Drosophila melanogaster: one gene and its partners. The protein of the gene in region 1 interacts with the protein of each later gene in a pairwise test. Each region holds a gene or a part of one and is shown on either strand. Other genes may lie near its edges. The genes, in order: Hsp67Ba, Kif19A, CG17528 and for.

What was found.
Region 2: the proteins of Hsp67Ba (region 1) and Kif19A interact in a two-hybrid assay, tested with the Drosophila melanogaster proteins (one large-scale study listed by BioGRID).
Region 3: the proteins of Hsp67Ba (region 1) and CG17528 interact in a two-hybrid assay, tested with the Drosophila melanogaster proteins (one large-scale study listed by BioGRID).
Region 4: the proteins of Hsp67Ba (region 1) and for interact in a two-hybrid assay, tested with the Drosophila melanogaster proteins (one large-scale study listed by BioGRID).

What each region holds. Positions count from the first base shown.
Region 1 is NT_037436.4:9,377,292-9,381,512, forward strand, and holds Hsp67Ba (heat shock gene 67Ba), read right to left. Parts: upstream 2,244-4,221; 5' UTR 2,149-2,243; coding exon 811-2,148; 3' UTR 511-810; downstream 1-510.
Region 2 is NT_033777.3:14,112,432-14,120,162, forward strand, and holds Kif19A (kinesin family member 19A), read right to left. Parts: upstream 6,020-7,731; 5' UTR 5,859-6,019; intron 2,894-5,858; 5' UTR 2,797-2,893; coding exon 2,686-2,796; intron 2,530-2,685; coding exon 1,098-2,529; intron 1,036-1,097; coding exon 887-1,035; intron 826-886; coding exon 482-825; intron 409-481; coding exon 192-408; 3' UTR 20-191; downstream 1-19. Other genes in the region: Abi (abelson interacting protein), read right to left, coding at 7,634-7,731.
Region 3 is NT_033778.4:4,821,300-4,826,258, reverse strand, and holds the start of CG17528 (uncharacterized protein), read left to right. Parts: upstream 1-1,939; 5' UTR 1,940-2,354; intron 2,355-4,959.
Region 4 is NT_033779.5:3,653,936-3,658,660, forward strand, and holds the start of for (foraging), read right to left. Parts: upstream 3,019-4,725; 5' UTR 2,787-3,018; exon of another isoform or gene 2,773-2,786; intron 1,651-2,772; 5' UTR 1,335-1,650; intron 1-1,334.

The DNA of each region.
Region 1 (4,221 bases):
CTTTTTTTTCTCGTTTGAAGTTTTGCTTTTGCGCAAAGTTGCTTTGAGTTGTTCACTGCTCGATTTTTGAATTCGATCTGTGCTCTGTTCGTCAAGCGACGCTGCTTTTATACCCGCTGGAGCTTTTCTAGAAGAGTCCGGAAAGTGACAGAAAAAGGAAAGAGTAGAGAGAGAGAAGAGAAGAGAGAGAACGTGCACAGAGAGAAAAAATTATGAATATAGCTTTGTATCGTTTGATAAACGAGGGATCAAATTAGAAATTTCTTTTATAAAAGTCTAAATTGAATGCTGCTCTAAAAACAAAAAATAAAACTAACTAACCTTTCCCAATAAATGCCATGAGTTTCGAGAAATTTTAAATGTAGTTGTTGTCGTACGCGCAAAAGCAGAGCTAGTGCGCCTGTATGAGTGAGAGAGCCGAAGTTTCTAGAGAGTTGTTGCAATTTTCTAGAAAGAGCGCAAAAGAAACAGCCGGCTAACGGCAAACAAAACAAAACGTCAGTTTTTTTTATTCTGGTTTTCCTCTTTATTAAGTACATTATTTCGTGTTTCTGTCTTTAAGTTTTACTGGAATACTTGTAGTTGTTGTCACATATGTTTTTTAGAAAATCATACATACATATAACGCCAGCAATCTCCCACTATTAGTAATTGAGTGCTTTTCCCGTCAGCTTTCTCGCTTCTTTTTTTTTGTGTGAAATGCAAGAAAAGAAAACACAAGAAACACGTATGGAATAAAACGCACGCCTACCCGTGCAGATTATTATTTGTTCTTAATTACTATTTATGTTCTTTCTTTTAGTTCAGTCTTCACTTGGCCAGTTCCTCGGTTTTGGCTGCAGTGGCTCCATTTTCGCCTTGGTTTTTGGCCAGTAGAATGGCCGCATCTACGGCTGCCAGTTCCTCGCCGCCCTTCTCCTCCACTTTCTCTACTTTATCAACCTTCTCCGCCTGCTCCTCTTTGCTGTCTTCCGTGGAGATTTCCGGTTTCTTGGCCAGCGGCATTTCCACATCCTCGGCTGCTGCGACTGCTCCATTGCCGTTATTCGAGGCAACGGGCACTTCGTTGGCATTTGCATCCTCTGCCTTTTGCTCCTCTTCGATGCTTATAACGGGATTGGGTGTGGGTTCATCCACATTGGCAGTCTCTTCGTTTTTGGCCAACGCCACTTCCATGGACTCTGATTCTGGTTCTGCAACGCCATTGTTGGCACTGGAAGTGGTTCCTGCGGTGGAAGGGGCTTCCACTGCAACAGCAGCGGCAGCAGCAGCCTCATTGGAAATGGGGGGCGAAACAGCCGGCATTTCCATCTCTGTCTCTTCCTGACCGTTGCCGTTGCTCTCGGCGAGAGTGAGCGAGAGCGAAGGAGTGGGTGTGGGTGCAGTCGGATTTAAAGTGGAAGTGGTGGCACTAGCTGCCGCCTGCTGCTCTACCTCTGACGGCTTTGGCGGCTGCGCATCCTTATCCTTCTGCTGCTGCGATATCTGCTGGATGTCTACGATGCGCTCCTGTCGTTCCAGGCTGCCTTTGACGACTGGAAGTGGTGGCGGCGCCTTCACCGTCAGAATGCCGTCCGAGGAGAGGGTCGAGTGCACCTCGTTGGGATCATAGCCCTTGGGCAGGATGTACTTGCGGATGAAGTGGCGCGAGATCACCCCGTGGCCATCCTCCTTCTCGTCGTGCTGACCCTCGACCACGATGCAGTTATCGATGGTCTTGACGGTCAGTTCGTTGGCGGCGAACTGCTTCACATTCATGCTCACCTGGAAGCCGTTCCTATTCACCACGGAGTAGGCGGATTTGCTGGCCGCCGGTTGGCCACTGGTGCTGCCGCTTGCCCCGGACGTGCCCTTATCGCCCAATTCCTTTTCCAGCTCCACCAGCGACTTATTGCAGCAAGCAGTCTTGGCTCCGGCCACACGATTGTACGGATGATGGCGATGCTGCGATGCCGCCGACTGACCCTTGATGGGCACCCACATCATTGCATTCCCACGCCCCAACCCACGACTCAGCTGTGGCAACTGTGAGGTGGCCTCCAGTGGATACAACCCGAATCCGGCCGAATCATCTATATCCATTGCCAGGCTGCGATTGAAATCGTGCAGCTCCTCGGCCAAATCTAGTATGAACGGTATCAGCGACATTTTCACTTTCTTCCTATCTGGCTAAGATATATCTTTTATTTTTTAGGTCTTGCGGGGATTGGTGTCGTCTGGGAACCGGCGGCGATCCGTTCTGGCCTCCAACTGGACTGCGTTTGAGCCCTTATGGCTGAATGTCGACGCTTTTAAGCGGCTGTGCAGCGCTGAATGGAAAACCTGGTCACTTCCAGTCGGCTTCCATGCCAGCTCCCAGGCGAAAAACTATGCAACTCCTCCAGAGAACTCACCAAGGGGAAGGGCTACCCATTAAAACAGTCAGTCAAGCCATGTACTATGCCATTTTCTGCTATATACACCGAAATAAGAGATACTTTTCCTCTACCGCAGATAGCCAGAGAACAAAGAAAGTACTCGTACTCGTAGTCGGCAAGAAACCAGACAAACCAAACTGCAACGTTGCAAAACCAAATAAAAAAGATACGTAAAAGAGGCAAACCGGCTTGAAATCGAAGCATATATGCACGAATATCCCCCCCAAGAGATGCCATCTTCCTTGTACCGGCGATATACATATATGTACTCATATATACAAATATCCATATAGACGGGGTATATGTAAAGTGGTCGTGTTGCAGCTGAATTCCCACTGCCGGCATTGAGCGAACAGCTGAGAGTCTGAGTCTCGTGCCGGTTGCCGATGCGGATTCGAGTCGCCGGCGATAAACAACTACAACAACAGCTGGCTGGCTGGCTGGCTGGCAGGGCCGCCTGGAAGCTACAAATCCGCTGTTGCCAGAGCTGGAGGATTGGCAAGCCGGCGTCGCGTAAACATGCGCAGTGACAGCGTCTGGGGCAACCCATACATATGGTATCTCCATATACATTTGTATCTACATACATACATACATACCCTGCCACACAGATGATGATGATATTGCTGGATTCGTATGTGGTTACATAGCCAAGTGCAAGCGATGGCAACCGGTTGAAAAGCTCCAAAATGCAAAAAACAACAACAACACCAACAACATCCAGACGGGGGCCAGACAGTGGAGACTTTGCTAAAAATTTACTGGGGCCCCGAACTCAGCTGCGGGATACAATTCTGTATGGCCATATATTATATTATATAGTATGTTTGTATTGATATGGTGTATCTGCCAGCTGCAGTCGGAAAAGAGCAAAAACCTTCAGAGATTGCTGCGTACGAGATGCCCCCTTGTACATACGATACATTCCCCATGTACATACACACTGGGTACTTGCTCCCATTTACCTAACCAAGGGGAAGAAATCCGCCGGACGAGCATGCTCGCACATTATGTGGCCACCTTTTTGAATAGACAACTTCCACTGCGTTGGCGTTGGATTGTCCAAGCCCTGGGCACCAAGAGTACTCTACTTCAGTGGAGGAGGAGTGGTGACAAGAAAATGGGGCCATAAATAAAAACTCGAATTATATAACAACCAGAGATTGAGTTCTATAGCAATGCCCATGTATTATATGGTTATTCAATCGCTACTGTAACAACAAATTGTAAACAAATTGTCATTTGATTTGGTTATTACGAAGTAATTCTGAATTCTAAACAATGTGTATATAAGCTGAATATTTATCAAGTTGTACCAAGCAAATGTGCAGCTAAATCTTACATACATACATATGTATTTGTCTTAAGAAATTGGTCAAATATAATAAAAGGTTACAGCCTCGTTTTCAATAAACCAAATATTGACTATTAGAATTTATTAAATGTTTTTAATGTTTTTTGGTTTATGTTTTCATCTATCGACCTTTGAAATTCAAAATAGTTGCATTACATTTTATTCAAATAATTTTTACATCCTTCGAATCCTTTATTGTATGAATGTACATATGTTCCAAATCGTATCATTTTTACATTTTCTTACTGATTGGAGTAATAATACGCTTACATCCCATGGGTTATTACCTACCCGGCATTAACCACTTATGTATTTTAATTAGATTTCCCCACTACAGAGCCCCATTCTTGGATATTAATTAAAGTTAATAGCTTAAATGCCAGGCCATAAAAAGAAGAACTGTTCTGCAGTCTCGAAGTTTCGCGAATTTACTCCATCCTTCGTGGAATA
Region 2 (7,731 bases), on another chromosome or scaffold:
TTTAAAAATTTGTTAGGTCCTTAAAGCTTACATTTTTATTGGATATATGCATAACATATTTAAGTGCCTGGGATGGAAAGATATAACACAATGAGTAAATTGAGCAGACATTCGAATCCTCTTCCTAAGAATCCTAGGCCTTAATTACAACTATTCCTGAGCACCTTCCATTCCACTAGTGACCGTCAATCCTACGGATGTGGATGTGGATTCCTGGCCACCCTTAACGAAGGTCGACGTGATCCTCCGGCTGGAACATTCGCACTTGTAGCTGCGGAAAGCCGGGGCAGACGCGGATTGACAGGTGGGCCCATGACTCGGTCGACAGGATCCATTTGGTTGTCGATTTGAGGCAGGGGCGAGGCCGGCGACCACTCTGAACTGGAACTGGAGCCGGGTGAGTCAGATCTTTGGGCAAATGTGACAATTTAATAACTTCTTCTCGGATCAATATTGTAGTTATCCCAAAATGAATCCTTACCCCGCAGTATAGATGGGCGGTAGTTTCCGTTCATAGTTGCTGGTGCTGGGTGTTACCACGCCAGCATGTATCTCCTGCTGGTAAAGCCCATAAAGCTCACGCAACTCATCCGGCAGATCCACGTTGCCCTCTTCGATGAGCCTTCTCTGGGAGCTGATGATGTCCTCGCAGAGGCGTCGCTGTCTTTCTGCCCTAAGCAGTTGAAGATCACGCCTGCGCAGCTCCGCCTGGCGAGCCAGCCGCTCCGCCTGCAGCGATACCTTGTCCGCCTCCAACTCGTGGACACGGCAGAGGAGTGCTAGCAGTTCGCGTTCCTCGTCACTGCTAATGCGCTCCGGAAGTTCCTGTTCGGAAAGGAAGATACTATTGCCCACAAATGGATAAATGCACCCCACTAAGACTCACATCCTCCAGTTTGACTCCTTTCTGACGGCATTGCTCCAGCTCGTGCTCCGTCCTCTCGCGGATTTCCTTGTAGCGGCGGGTCTCCTTCTCTATAGCCGCCAGTTCTCCCCAGGCATTTTTCAAAGCCACCGATCCTTCTGATTCAATGTCTGCGGAAAAACAAACCAAATATGATGATTTCGTGATCAGTAATATGTGGGAGAAAACACACCGTCATCGCCCATTGCATCATATAGTTTTCCAATGCGTCCTTGCCAGTGGGAGATAATCATATGCTGCCGCTCAGCGTCCAGTTCCAAGCCCAGTAGATGGCTCTCGGCCTCGAGGAGTTTCCTGCGCAGTTTCATCTGCTGCTTGAAGGTGAGAACAATCTGTTCGCGCAGGTAACGGAGTTCGGTCTTGCGCTGTTCGTCCTGTTCCTGGACAGCTTCCGATCCAGCTCCAGATCCAGCGGTCCCAGCAGAGCCTGAAGCTGCTGCGGCTGCCGCTGCTGCAGCTGCTCCACTCCGAGGCCTTTCGGTTAGCATCTTGGTGCGCAGACGTGATACTTCATCGCGCAGCTCCGAAACGAGACTTTGGTAGTGTTTGGTGGGAAAGTCCTTGAACTCATCGATGTACACGGAGTTTTGGAGCTTGGTAGTGATGCTATTAGCTCGGTCGGCGTAAACCAGAGTGTTCTTGGTCTCATCGCGGTGCTTACTTTCCGGTGCAACATGGGCAATCATTACGGTCTTGCAGCGACCACTCAGCGCCTCCTTGAGCAGCCTGGTTAGCTTGGAGTCCCGGTAGTTGACATACCTGGCACCGCCGGATAGTCCGTTGATAACGTTGCCCAGTGCCAGCAAGCTTCGATTTATGTGGGCACCTTCCTGCAATCGTTTACCCCTATTCTTTGTTTTCTTAGCCCGCTCCGATCCGGCCAGATCGGTGAGAAAGAGTCGTCCTTGCTTGGTGCCCAACGGCGTCCTTGCCTGAACCATAATACTCAAAAGGGCGTGACTGCGTGAGGAAGTTTGATTCGCGGCCGTCGGCTCCATGGTCCTGGCCTTGTTTCCCTTGAGCAACAGACTTACAACCTCCTTTCTGCTGGAAGTGGTAATCTCCGAGAGACCAGCCACGGTGATGCGCTGGCCACGATGATCCTCTCGCAGCTCCAAGGGTCCTCCAGGATTAAGGAGATCCCTTATGAGCTCGTTGTATATCTCCAGGTAGGATATGGAAACGCGACACGAATACGCCTCCGCTGACTCGATGTGACTGAATATATCTTCTATGGCGCGCACCATTAGCCCGATGTCCTGGCTGCTCACGTCTGTGGAATCACAGGATGCTGTGGGTGGGGCACGATCGCTGGTCTGCGGTTTTTTGCGCGGCACAGGTCCCAGCATGGTGTGCGTCTTTCCGGATCCAGTGGCTCCATAGGCGAAAACGGCCGCATTCAGACCGTTAAGGACATCTCTGACTAAAGGAGCCGTAGTCGTTTTGTAAACCTGCTCCTGGCTATCGTTCTCCCGGAATACATGATCGTACGAATACTGCCGTGGACGACTCTTTCCGCCATCATCGTACAGAAGTGATCCGCCGGAGATGACTTCGATGCAGCGTTCCGTGGCCTCCATACTGGGTCGAACCCGAACTGCAACCTAAAGAAGATTAGGAAGTTATTATTACGTACTAAAGCAACTGATTAAAAAAAAGGAAGAACTTCTTATCCCATCATATCTTCAATTGTAATATTAAATTCTAAATTTAAGTAATTGTTTCTGAAATAGTATATTCTCCATAGAGTATATACTCACCACTAATCTCTCCTCCTGCGCCGGTTGAGCTGTAGCAATGGATCGTCCTTGGGAGGAGTTGCTGCCTCCACTGCTGCCCGACCAGCTGCTCGCTCCAGCACTGGTCGCCATCACTGCGATCCTTCAGATAAATGGCAAATAGCAATGGATATGTGGGTGGGTAGTCCTTGTGCAGCCACGTGCCGCCTGGCCTGGTTGATGACCTGACCTGGACAGGACCATTACAAATCGTGTCAATTTGTTGTCAACAATCGTAAAACTGCCATCAGCGCGGGAAACACCCAACGAACTCCTAATGGACTTGTGAATTTGCGCGCCAAGGTCTCGCCTCTTTACAGGGAATTTCTCTGTGAAGGAGGGTCCTTGGAGTCCCATGGCTCTTGTTTACCTGTGGCCCAAAGAACTCAAGGAGCTAAAGGAGCTGGCGTGGGCCATAAATCAAGCCGTGAACTTGAACACCCAAAAAGTGCCTGCGTGTCTCCGCATGCAAATCAAATGGAGCAGTTCGATGGTCATCGAGAGGGTACTGTACCTGAACTGGGAACCCTGAAGTCCTCAAGAGTCTATTAACCTTCAAGGGTTCAGATTATGGATCAAAATTCCAATAAAAAGGTGATGGATCTCTAAAAAAAATAATGTTGCCCACAATACTAAACACAATTTTACCTATATTACAAGACTTCCAATATTTCTAATCATATGTTTCAAATCATATATGGATTCTTGAAAGTTCCAGCCAATTTTTTCTTTTTCGCATGGTGTTGTCCATAAAATTGAAGTGCATAAAATTCAAATTAAATGAAAGTGTTGCCGGAAATAGAAGTGTCAATCCATTCACGCTAATCCATAATCTTTGTCCGTGTGCCAAACATGTTGTGACCTCTGAACCCAAACACCCAACACCTGTCACTCACTATAAAGGAAAACTTCCATAGCCCCGCAGCCAACTGTCGCTTCCCCAAAGCCATAATTAATTTCATTTGCCTAAGAGCTGGTCAATTATAAAACGTGGGACTTATTGAGTGCCAACGGTTTGGATTATTCATTTTAATTCCATGTTCCCATTCAGGTGCCATGAATTTGTGATGGAACAGCCCATAACAAAAAGACCAAGCTTCCGCGGCACTTGCTCCTCAAATATGTACACAAATTACAGGCCTTGAATGTCAACAGAGATGGGCGTTCGAATTGAGTGATGGGGTGTCATTCGATACACTGGGAAAAATTATAACAGCGATCGCTTGAAATGTATAGATATGTTATAGGCTGTTATAGGAACTCATTGGGAAAATATGCACTTATTTATATATAAATTTTTTTGTTCTATTTGAGGTTCTGTAAAATTCCCACTAATTTCCATTAAATGAAGTGCATAAAGTCTTAATATATTTTAGATCATAGGGAATTAACTTATTTCCGAATGGAATATATAATTTATTTGTTATGATAATTCGGTGCCTATTTCGAAGGCAGTTAATTTGATAATGCCGAAAATCGATTTGAGCACTTTAATTGAGCGCCCATTAATGGGTGGTGCAATTGAGTCCGATTTAAACCACCACCCACGAGGAGACCTCAACACTTTTGCCAGTTCTTGTTTCGAATTCCACTACGACGGTCTTTTGGTCGTTTATTGAATTTGTGTAAATTGCCGGCAGACACGACACGAAGGCAAGTGGACAGGACTTCTGAATCAACTGGATGTGGGGCGGCATGTGGTTGGCATTCCGAATGGTTTGTGGTGGGCTATTCGACTGGGTGGTTAAGTAGTGCAGTGGTTCGGTGGCTCAGTGACTTTGTCTTCGGTTGTTGTCGCACGTCGACTGTTAATGTTTTTAATGCTTTGGTGTTCCATGCTTTGATTTGCCGGCTAGTGAACCCCATGGGGGAGTTGGAGCCACGTGGAGGTGTGGCATTGTGTGGCCAGCGCATGGTGGTCTGCTTAGAGCTCATTAGTGGCGCTTAGGGGGAGAATTGGGGCAGTTGGGTCGGGAGTAATGGAGTAGCGCATATGAATTGAAGCTTTGAAAGGCGTTTTTCGAGGGAAAGTCCCGATTCGGTGGGAAAGGGTAGCTGGAAAAGTCCTATAACTCCAAGCACGGCTAAGTAATAACACGTGTGACAGACTCTTTATGGCTAATGAGTTTGCTTTTCGATCCAGGACAGTCTAGTGAGTGATAAAGAACACATACCTTTTAACTCACTCGCGACAATGGCCATCGACCAAAAGGAATCCAAATAAACATACCCATCGATGGGGATCTGAATAAAACAAAAGACCCGTAAGCTTTGACAAATGGTTATAGTTATTTTCTATACGTTCGATATGAAAACGAGGTCACAAAATAATACCACTGCTCATTAAAGTTGTTATTCAAGTGCTTGATGTATTATAATTCCATATGGTTATGGTATTTATAATCTTCATAATTGGAAAAATCAATTGCAGTGCAATCCAATCTTATATTAACCATATTTACATATTAAGTTCATATTAAAAGGAATTCTGAATTCCAAAACAAAGAGTCTTGTTAGATAAGCAAAAATTATGAGTATTTCCCTATTAAATCCTGCCAAGCTAACAAAGCCCGAGAAAGGCAAACCCCATAATGCCAGAGTGTAATTACCCACCAGGAGCATTGCGTATACGCAGTGGTGGTGATTGATGGCTTTTTTGACCTGGAGACGACTTAATTACCCAAAGCCATTTCCCTTGGCACACACTTGCCGGGTTTATTTTTAGTGGCCCATTAAGCTGAGTGACCAGCCCCCAATATGCATCCAAGGTGACGTCATTTTTGTAGTGGACTTTGAATGCAAGTGCAAAACTTTTAACCTTCACGGGGTTTTCCAAATTAGCGCGTCTCGAGTTTCGAGAAAGTTGTGCGTGTCACGAAACTTTGAGAATTTCGACATTAAGTGGGCCAACTTGTCCGCATTGACGAGGCAGGCGAATTCTTTACGCCATAAACAAAGTGGCCAGTGGCCCCAATCCTGACATGGAATAATGTAATATTTTACACTTGGCCAGCAAGTAAATCCGGCACCAAGTAGGTCAATTAAATGCGGTGCCCGCAGAGAGGAGCCACCCCAATCTCGGCTTACATTTCGATTATGTAAAACACACAAATGATAAAAACTTTTCAAGCACCTCTGCATCGCGGTTCACTTACAAATAGTTTTGTATTGCACTTTATCCGCTCGGAAAACTATTCCGGACACGCCACTCGCCAAAAAAAGAGGCTTAAAGTCAAAACACACCGGAAACACTGGGTCGCCAAGAACGTTGTGGAGTAGAATCCGAAATGAAAGCGACTTGTGGAACCATTCGCGTCGACGTACCAAACTCAACTGAAGCGTCCGACTCGGCCTGGTCAGAAAATAACGAAATTATAGGCATGTCCAGGGGGTTTGGAATGGATTCCAGGTTGGGTGCCTGCTGGGTGGGCGGTGTTTCGACTCCTGGCACGGCACAATCAACCAACTATTGTTGTTGCCACGTTTTTTTACTATGGCATTGTTCAAATGCTAATGCGCCATTTTGCATACATTCCTGGCGGGTTCCACCTGCCGCTGGCCAGTTGTGGGTTAAAGTAGTCGTTCAAAGAGTCCGTCTTCAAGCTGTTCAGGTCCACTCCAATAATTGTTCACAAATAAAGGTATTTCCATATTTATGTATGTATAGTTGAGGGGCCCAAAAAGTGGGCAACAATTTAGCACATTTTATGCAAATCATGCCAGCACTCCACTTTTTTCTGGCATTTCCGCCACGTCAACTCCTCGAAACCTGATAATAAATTTAGCAAATGGGTAAAAAACCTTCCACATATCACCACGAAAGCATTAATTTACCCGGAGCCGAGTTATGGAAAAGTTTTCCGGGACGAGACATTGAATTGAAATCGGTTTGTAGAGCAAAGTGTCGATTATAATGGATTGATTGACTGACTGAATGACCCCAATGAGTGTTGGCATTTGCAAATATTTCAAGCCTTCCATCACACGACTTGAAATTTGCATTTGAGATTTCGAATTTGAATTTGGCAGGCCACAGAGCCTTGCCCCAATTACGGATTTTTACTGACATCCGGGGCTCGACTCACGAGAAGGTCAGCGCAAATTACACGGTCATAGAACAAGGGCTTGCGGTTTAGTAATTGAAATTTTTATTAGCTATTATTTTTACCATATAGAGCGTATGTGTACTTGTATTGTTTAATTTAATTTGATTCCTTTGCTGGCAATTCCATTTTAACTAAACGTTCGCAAAAAAAAGACATCGTTGCGGTTCGTAAAAGTATAAACAAAAGTTCCAACTGGCCAATACTTAAGTATTAAATGCTAACTGAAATTTATATAACCTACAGTATTGCTGGGGGCATAGGTTCGGGTAGTATTGGTGTATAATAGCCGGGCATATCAAAGCGCAAGGCAAACAGAAATCGCTTGATAAAACTGTGAGCAAATATTTAAAGTATTTGGATTGGCGGCAGGAGCAGGACAGAATTCGTCTACGGTTGTGGAACAGTTTTATAATATCGCATAAGTTATTCACGGGTATCCGGTTTCACTTTCCCCTTCTTGCATCGTTTTCGGCTACTAAAGTGTAAATAGTTTTAGTTGGGCAGCAAGCGGTATCCCTAGCCCGTGGATTCTGTGTGTTTGTGTGCTCGTTTATATTAGACTAAATGCGGTTGGCTGATGCTAATGGAATTCGCTTTCTCTGGCCTGCTGTGCTTGTGTAGGTGTGTAATTGTATAATTGTCCTTATTAATATGCTCAAAATCTTATCGTCATTGTCAGCTGAGTCTGTTGCGGTCCTCAGTCTAACTCTCCGATAACTGAATTGAAATTTTTTGGAGCTCTTGAGAAGCAGCAGAGGACTGGAACAGACCAGATGATGCAGATTATTGTAATGGTTGGCATGTTTAGAATATCGATGCGAGGCTTAGACACAAGGCTCTACGTAGTTGCCCGGAAACAGACCGGTAACACCATCCATGACGCCCTCCCACCAGCCGTCGTCGTTTTTCTTGAGCACGTACA
Region 3 (4,959 bases), on another chromosome or scaffold:
CGCTAGAATCTGTATGCTGAGTCTCATCCTTCTTCTTTTATAGTTACTGAGATCTCGACGTTCATACAGACAGACTGATCGACTCGACTATTTTTGCCTGTTAAAAGCTTTTCTTATTATTATTTGAAAATAAATAGTTTTTCGTTCGGAGTTTTTTGCATCAAGTGCAACTATTAACTTTCTGTTTAAAAAAAAACTGACGTCCACAACCTTAACTGCAATGGAAATGCCAAAGGTGAATTTAATAATTTATATAATGGCTTACGAAACCACGTTTACGTCCATTTCGTTCTGGTGTTTTCTCACACCATATGCAAAAATAAAAACCGCGTGCTTTAAAAGTAAACGGTAAATAAAGCACAGAATAGAACAAAACCAAAAAATGTGTTTTGAAAATAAAAGCACAGAAAGCACATCAAAACAATCGCACGCTCTAAGCGAGTTAAAGCGATAAATAAGGTTGCAAACTGCTCTCTCGCTTTATCGGTCTCACTCTAATAACTTTCGAGCGATTGCACTTAAAAATGCTTGCAGTGGCTTATCGCTCGTACTTGCCCAATATTATCTCATCGCTTCGCTTTGCTTCTCGCGCGCACTCAGCCGTCAGCATTAGTAGTTGGTCAGGGGGAGAATGCTTATGCGAGCTCATTTTACGTGAGCCCTCAAACAAGGTAAAACAGCTTGTTCTAGCTGTTGTACTAGTCAATTATATACAGGGAGCTCTCGATGTACGCGACTACTATATTCCCTTCCTTAAAAATAAAAATAATATATAATAATATAAAATTATATATATGTAAGTATATAAGAAGCTAAACGCTGAACTGGTCAACGATCTGAAAGTGGGGCGTTTCCTGCCTCACCGCCGCTGCGGCGTCAGCACAGTATTTCGCGCTGGCAGCGGAAGATCAACAACATTGTGCGGAGTTACTGGGCCGGCACTCTCATGACTGCAACACTCGGGCGCGTCAACGAATGTCACGTTGCGCCTGGTTAGCACTTATGCTAGCTGCCCGAGGGCTCGACGCTCATAGCTGGCGAGCGAAGTGACACTCTTGGAGAAGAACCGAACTCGAGCGGATTGTTACCAAAATGCAAACCAATCAAGCGGAATAAAGACAAAGACTAAAGACAAATATTCGATTGATATCATTTCATATGGAACCGACATTTAGGTAATATCAAATCTATTGCCGACCTGGGGTCATTCCTCCAGGTCCTCGGCACTTAACTTATATAAGTTCTCCAATCCTTAAATATAGCACTCTGCCCCAGTTGATAAACAAATTTCAAACTCCAATCTCAGCAGCATTTCAATTATCCAACCCTGTCAATTATCCAAGTTAATCCCCAGTTGATAAACAAATTTCAATCTCCATTCTCAGCAGCATTTTCATTGCCCGTTTTGGGTGCCAGCACTTAGCCACCCGATAAATAACCAAACTTAAAGTAATCACCAGTCAGCAAATTTCGATTTCACAATGCTGTGAAATAATTTCAGTATAAAGCTTTTATCCTTAACATATTTGAAAGTTCAAGAAAATCCTAAAGAAATGCTTCTGGCCGAGGCTGAGTGGATTAGGATTAAGATTTAAAAGATCAGTCTAAATCGGGACGAGATCGTGAGCAGTTTCAAAACAAAGATAAGCTATTAAAAAAAGTGTCTTGTAATAGTATAAGTGCAAACGTCTATCACCGAATAAATTTAAATAATAATAAAAAAATTATTTATTATAAATAATTAAACAGTAACAATTTAAATACATTCTACTTCATACATTTTAAATTTTTAAATTAGATAGGGCCTGAAAAAACGAATAAATAAGAACCTAATTTTCCCTCTTTTCCAATATTCCTTAATCGGCGTAAAATCATCGACGATATCTTGACGGCGTGAATTTTATATAGGAACGAGTTTCGAAATCTGTTGCGGCCCAACGGTGTATGTGTGGTGATATCGAAGCACGGTATTACAATTAAAGCAGTTTACATTTGTGCTAAAGATTATTATTAAATATAATATCCGTTTTGAATTATCTTTTGACAAACAATAAGTTTTTTACATTTTGTTTAGGCGGAATGATTCAATGAAAAAGAATTGTAAAAAAGTATATTTAATAACAGTGTTCAATTTAGTATTATTGACAGGTAAATCAATTTTAGTTTGTGCTATAACGAATGTCGAACACGGTTAAAAAACTAAAACATGCTGACATCATAAATCACCTTGAGCGAAAATCCATAAGTAAAATTCCGGTATAATCCTTTTGTGTGAATAACTATAAAATTGTGTACGCAACTCAGCCGTACAGGTTTCAAGGTACAACCCAAAAAATACATTGTTTTGACATCAGGTGAGAGCATTAAAGATGTCAAATAACATCCTCTTTAAAGTACGCATTGCGACCAAATATATTTAACCCGTCCCCTTAACAGCGTGGCAAAGTTTTGCATTTATTAATTCTCCACTGTGCTATCAAATTGAAGTTCGTCTGTGCATTGATTGGAGTGTTTAAAAGACTGGTGTCCCTTACAACCATTTTCAATGCAGGGTATTATGGTTTCCAGCTTATTTCAATCAACACAAGCAGCCTATAAAACAACCAGCCAAGCAAAAATATTTTTACTGCACGATATTATTGCAATGTTTATACTTACACATTTACTTATTATATATTATTACCCTTGCGAAGGGTATATTGGTTTAGACAGAAGACATCTGTGTCTGGCCGTCCGTTCCTAAGCAAACTAGTCTCCCAGTCCTAAAACTTTAAAACTTTTCTATTGCTGGTAGTATATAAATTAAGTCAATTAGATTATTATAATAAAATAGGTATTTATTGAGCCAACTTCTCTTGTTTTCGGTCTCTTACAAAATAACTTCTAGAGCTCACTTATTTATCTCACAAAGTCTTCCGTTGAGGGCAGCGGACATGCCCGTCCCGTATTGAACTGAACGTTGCACATCGCTTTTGCTGAAGGGGAAAGAAGCTCGCCCGGCCCGGTACCGTCGATGTTACTGTTGACGGTGCCGCATCCGGTTCTGGGTGGCATTACGCAGGACCACTTCGAGGCAACTTGAAGGCATCCGGATTCTATGTCCTTAGATGGTTGTTTACGTTTGAAGCGGCAAATAAGACAAATGATGAGGACTATCGATATCACAGAAAAATGATGATAGTCGCAGAACTCAACTATAGCATTCTCTCATGTTTTTCATATATTTAATAGTATTATAAATTTCTATGGATCTGCCAAAAAACTTTTTGCCACACCCACTCTCTCTCTCCCACACTTTTGACAAATTTTAAATTTTTTCTCATTTTATTCACCAATATCTGTAGATATCGCTGAAAATATATGGAATTTCGAGTTCGCATTTCCACTAGCTGAGTAAGGGGTATCTGATAGAAAAAAAGCTTATTTTAAAGGGTGGGCAAACGAAATTATTCATTTTAAAGAGTGAGCAAACAAAAAAACTAATGTTAAAGTATGTGTAAATGATAATTTATTTTTAAAGGCTAGGCAAACGTTTTTTATTCTTAATTTTTATTTTCAAGAGGTAGGCTAACGAAACTGGTAATATTTTAAGTGTGGGCAATCGGAAAAAACTTTGGTTAAAGATTTGTTTAAGGATGGGCAAACCATAAAAACTAATAATAATGGTTGGGCAAAAAATATTTATTGATAATATTTCGTTTGACTTTAATCTCTGAGTGAAGTCTAAAGTTTTTTTGAAATATTTTTGAATATTTTTTTACATTTTTACTAGTCTTGTAAAATTCTATCTATTTGCAAACTCCCACTTCAACGCCCTAAAACCGCTCAAAACTGCCATGTCCACATTTTTGAAAAGTGGAAGAAAAGAATTGGACTTATCAAAACAAAAGAAATGGCGGCGATAAATTGTCGACTATAGAAAATTAAACTCGCAAAAAATCGAAATTCGATATCAAAAAAAGTTGGGCTATAAAATATTTTCTTCTTTATTCTTGGCAAAAGACTTGGCGATATCAATCCCATGCAAACAGTTAAAATAAATGACGAACAAAACAACGACTTTTCGTTTGACCTAATAGACCAATTCTCAACCCAATCTATTTGAATCTATCTGACAATTTATACTATCTTAAAAATACAGAAAACATATTAAACATATAAAGTACAATAGTTATTGTTCTGAGCCGAATAAATGATCCGTATTTGAACTAAGATCAACGTTGAAATAAATAAAAACTCCGAATGAATCCACTTTGCGATTTTATTGATTGAATATCAGCTTAAGACTGAAACAATTGTGGTGAGAAAATCTTAGATGTACTGGGTTAGTGGGTTGTTCTTGCTTATGCTTATGTTTATGTGCATACATGTTAAAAAGAATTCTTATGTGCTACGTGGCTATGTGCCTGCCTAATGGCTGGGTTTTGGTTACGGCTTGAGTGAATGCGAAATATAGAGAAATGTTTTTTTTATTTAACGGGTAATCGATACGACGGCGGACCATCGCGGTCGGTCTTTTGTATAAGTGAATTATGAGGAAGGCATAATTACGTTACTATATAAGTTGCAGTACTAAAAGAGTCGGAAAAAATATTACGAGGCACCAATATTGTATAAATAAAAAAAATAAGATACCTTGTTCACACAACAAGAAGTAATGCTACCATTTTAGAAAAATTACGAAAAATTATACCAGGGAAAAGGCTAAATAGCCATTTACTGTAAAGTCATAAAATTGTACCTAAAATTCCAATAATGCTATATTCAATATTTCATATTCAACAACAATTTACAACAAATAAGTTAAGTTAATTAAATTAACAACTTAATAAATTAATTGATTTCTTTTTAATAGACGTCACAGAAAGAGAACAAATATCTATGATAGGCTAGTTTTTTGTATGTCGCAGAAGCTGGCCTTCTCTCGTTACAGGCTTTCGATACAACTCGTATTTCGGT
Region 4 (4,725 bases), on another chromosome or scaffold:
AAAAAGAGTTCTTAGATATTTGAAGGGCACTATCGATATGAAATTGATTTTTAAAAAGAACTTGGCATTTGAAAATAAAATTATTGGTTATGTGGATTCTGATTGGGCTGGTAGTGAAATTGATAGAAAAAGTACAACAGGGTATTTATTCAAAATGTTTGATTTTAATCTCATTTGTTGGAATACAAAGAGACAGAACTCAGTAGCAGCCTCATCAACTGAAGCTGAGTATATGGCCCTATTTGAAGCCGTGAGAGAAGCTCTATGGCTTAAATTTTTATTAACTAGTATTAACATTAAACTAGAAAACCCCATTAAAATTTACGAAGACAATCAAGGCTGTATTAGCATAGCAAACAATCCCTCATGTCATAAACGAGCTAAACATATTGATATTAAATATCATTTTGCCAGAGAGCAAGTTCAGAATAATGTGATTTGTCTTGAGTATATTCCTACAGAGAATCAACTGGCTGACATATTTACAAAACCGTTGCCTGCTGCGAGATTTGTGGAGTTACGAGACAAATTGGGTTTGCTGCAAGACGACCAATCGAATGCTGAATGAAATTTTTATATATATTTTTCAAATTTAAATTCCTGTAAACATATTTTGTTACAATGATCTGATCGGGTTTTTCTGGGTTTTCCCCGTATCCTCGCAGCAAATGCTGGATCAGTTAACACTTCCCAGAATGCACACCACCCACATTTGATAGTTACTAATGAATATTATTGTTATGTTTTTAATTATAGACGTTATTTTTGAGGGGGCGTGTTGGAATATACTATTCAACCTACAAAAATAACGTTAAACAACACTACTTTATATTTGATATGAATGGCCACACCTTTTATGCCATAAAACATATTGTAAGAGAATACCACTCTTTTTATTCCTTCTTTCCTTCTTGTACGTTTTTTGCTGTGAGTAGGTCGTGGTGCTGGTGTTGCAGTTGAAATAACTTAAAATATAAATCATAAAACTCAAACATAAACTTGACTATTTATTTATTTATTAAGAAAGGAAATATAAATTATAAATTACAACAATCACTTTCGGCTCTAAGGCGGAGAAAAGGGCTTAAAGACCCTGAGCCTTAATTGTTTATTCAAAGCACGGACCAGAAAAAGACAGCACTGGAGCAGTCGAAAGAGATGGGTATATAGACAAAAGGGCGCCTTGGCGAAAAAAAAAATTATTCAAAGGCCGAACGATTGTGCAATCACAAAGTTCGTAGGCGGCATAAATCCATAAATAAACAATAAGTATGAATAAATAAGTTGCTGTTCGACAACAGCGAACAGTAATTGCATATTAAAATGGAGCTTACATGTTGGACGAAAAGTGAAGAAATTCCAGGGTCGATGTAAATGTTATGGTTCCAGTCGCAGAGAATCGCTCTCTTTTCTTCTTGTTGTTGCGATCAGCCGGCTTTTGCGAAGAAAGTTTCTTCGTTTCCACTTGTTGATTTGTGATCGGCTGTCTCGCTCGCGCACTCTTCAGTTTCCTCGTTAATTCACAGGAAGCACAGAATTAAGGCCGAAAATATATTTATAAATGAAATGCAGGCGGCACACGAAACTTCGCCATCAATTTAGACGGCCTGCACTTTTGTTTTCTCGAGTCTTTCCACTTGCGTTGCGTTTCTATGAAATTGGGCATTAAAATTTAAATGCTATTAGCCACAGAACACGAACACGAAAGATTGGGAAATGAAATGAAGGAGAGAGAGTGAGAGAGAGTTCTCTCACTCGTCGCTGTTATTGTTATCACCTGAGTCGAATACAGTGGGACCCCCACTTGAAGATGCAAACAAGACTGAGCTTTTACCAATAGTATTCAATAGTTCACTGATATCGATTAAATAATTTTAAAACTTTTGATCAACATTGCTGATTAACGCTTATTGGATTTAAGAACATTCGATTTGTTAATACTTGTGATCTGGCTTAATATGATAATTTAAGTCGAGCCCCACTGTACTCTTTCTCGCGGATTTTATCGCTCACTCTTTTTGTTTTCAGTTCACTCTCTCTCGCTCCGCATAGTTTGACTTGTTGTTGTTTCTGCCAGCGTAGCGTAGTTAACTTGAGCGGCAGCAACAACAACATCAGCCATACTTGTTGCTAAAAATAGTAGCGGCGGCGAGACAGAAACAGAAAACAGAAAAACAGCGCGGCAGAATAAAATATGAAAAGGCGCACAAATTGGAAAAAATTGTACATGACGAGCAACAAAAACAAGCAGCAAGTAACAAAAAGGAGGAGGAGTAGTTACAACAACAACTGAGCTTCTGTTGAAATATATCAGAGAAAAGAAAGGCAAAGAGGCAGATCGGCGTAGAAAGGAAATGCGACGCAAAACTGCAGTCAAAGAATTAGTTGGAATGATGGACTGAAAAGTGTCAAGTTTAGCACGGAAAATTCGTCAGCTGAAGTGCGAAAGAGACAGAGCGAACGAGCAGCTAACAAGTGATTTTCCATGAAATTAATTGCAGACTGCATTTGAATTAATAATTTTCCACTTTGAAATCACAAACTAAAAGAGAGCCGCTCTCTCTTCCACTCTCTTCGCTTAATGCACCAAAACTGCATTCACAATTCACGTTTTACTAATATTTAGTCAACTTTAACCACTGCCTTTGCTTTAATTGCTTTTTAAGGCAAATAGTTGCACATATGGAAAACGCTAGTTGTTGTTTTATTTTAGAATTCAGAATTGAGCACAAATGCTAGATCGTACGACTAGCGAAAGCAGCAACAACTAACCAAGTGGCACGCACACACAAGCACAAGTCGATGAAAAACCACCGAACTAAATGGCGATGTGGATTATTCTGATAAACGCCAATGCCATATATATATATATTTTTTTTCTTTTATTAAGAACTTGTGCCAAAATTTGCAGGAAAACCACGCGTTGCATTGATTCTTATAAAAATGCCGCTAAAGTCAATTCCAAGCACGATCGCGACAAATGACAACCGCACAGCACGAGAAATTCCAACAGACTGAAAATGAAACAAACAACTTACTCGCTACCACTACTCGAATATTATGAAATAAAGAGCACATTAGCATTTTTTCTCTTAATTTTTAAAAAATTATTTTCTCTTCTGATGCAATGTTATGAATTAGCGTTGAGATAGAAAAAAAAAATTTAAAACAATATTATGCTCAATCCTTTCTACAAATTAATTACTTTAATCAAATAACAAAATATTCATATTAATAAAAGTGTACTTTGTTTGTTAACGTAAATATACTATGTGAAAGGAGTAGATTTAGTAGAGTAGTAGAATTTATAATATTTTCCCTGCTAGTTCTCTCAGAGATGATGTATCAGTTTGATTTTAATAATCATTCCGAATGAAATCATCATTGAAGTTGGTCAAGATCGGTCTTAAATTAATCTAGTATTATAAATTGCCAATGCAGGATTAACTCTGCGCCATGATTTATTCAACTTTTCTCGTATACTTTTGGAACTAACAGCACACAACGCCTATCCGTTTACGACAAATGGTGTTTGTTTTTGGAACTAATACAGCGCCATTTTTCATTTTAGTGATTTCTAACTTACGTTGTACGTTACATTTCAGATTTATTATGCATGTAAGATGTAGAATGTCATAGCAACTGGCCGTCATGTATGTAAATATGTGTATGTATAGGCATTTCAGAGCCATTTTCTGCTCATATGTAGGGGTGGAGCCTGAGAAGAGAGAAAATCCCAAAAGGGGAATAAGAAACTGGGAAATTTTACTATTTAACTCGTTTCGTAAGAGGGTATACTAGATTTGTTAAGAAGTATATAACAGGTAGAATGAATTTTCCGATCTTTTATGGTACATAAAAAGACATTTTTTGAAACATGTTGAAAATTCAAAATTTTTTAATTAAACATAAATGTTTAAGTGGAATAAGTAACATATTGTAAAAATTATTTATTAATTTTAACCGTTATTTATGTACAATTTCGTAAGGTTAGAAAAATCCAAGGATCTTTGGTCGGGAATTTCCCTCAAGAAGGCGTTGCAAACTTAAGACCACCCACCCCCAGTATTGTGCCACCCCTCCCCAACTTCGCAACCCTCTTTTCACCCCTCTGCCGCTCTCGCAGTCGACGTCGCCGGGAAGGAAGGAAAGAGATAGCAGCTGGGAGAAAGGACAAAAGGAGAAACGGGTCGGTGGAAAAGGAGGAGGAGAAAGTAGAGGAAAAGTGAGGCGGCAGCAAAAGTTGATTAGATGGATTTCGTTTGGTTTTTGTGTTTTTAATCACACACCAATTTCATTTATTAAATCTTCGCATCAGCATTTCATTTCTCGCATTCCCTATCTTTCTCTTTCCCTCCTTCTGTCTCTTTCGCTTGTGCAGTGCCTTTTTTGTTTGGCTTTGCGACGGCATTTTTGTATTTTCTGTACCGTAGTGTTTGCTCGTTTGGCCTTCTCTTTTCTCTCGCACTCCTGTTTGTTTGTTTGTTGTTTTCCCGTTCACTCATTGTCACGAGCAATTTCACTCTCTCTCCACACCCCACCACCCCCGTCTCTGCCCATCTTTTGGCCCAGGCAAAACTTTTTGCAAAATGAAATTGTTTTCGTATTAACAATTTCATTAAAATTAAATTACTTTTATTATTCCGACAGAATCAGACAAACGAAAGGAGAAAAAAGCCAGCCTCCCCTGCCGCCCCCTCACCCCTTTCAGCCATTTTGGCCCCC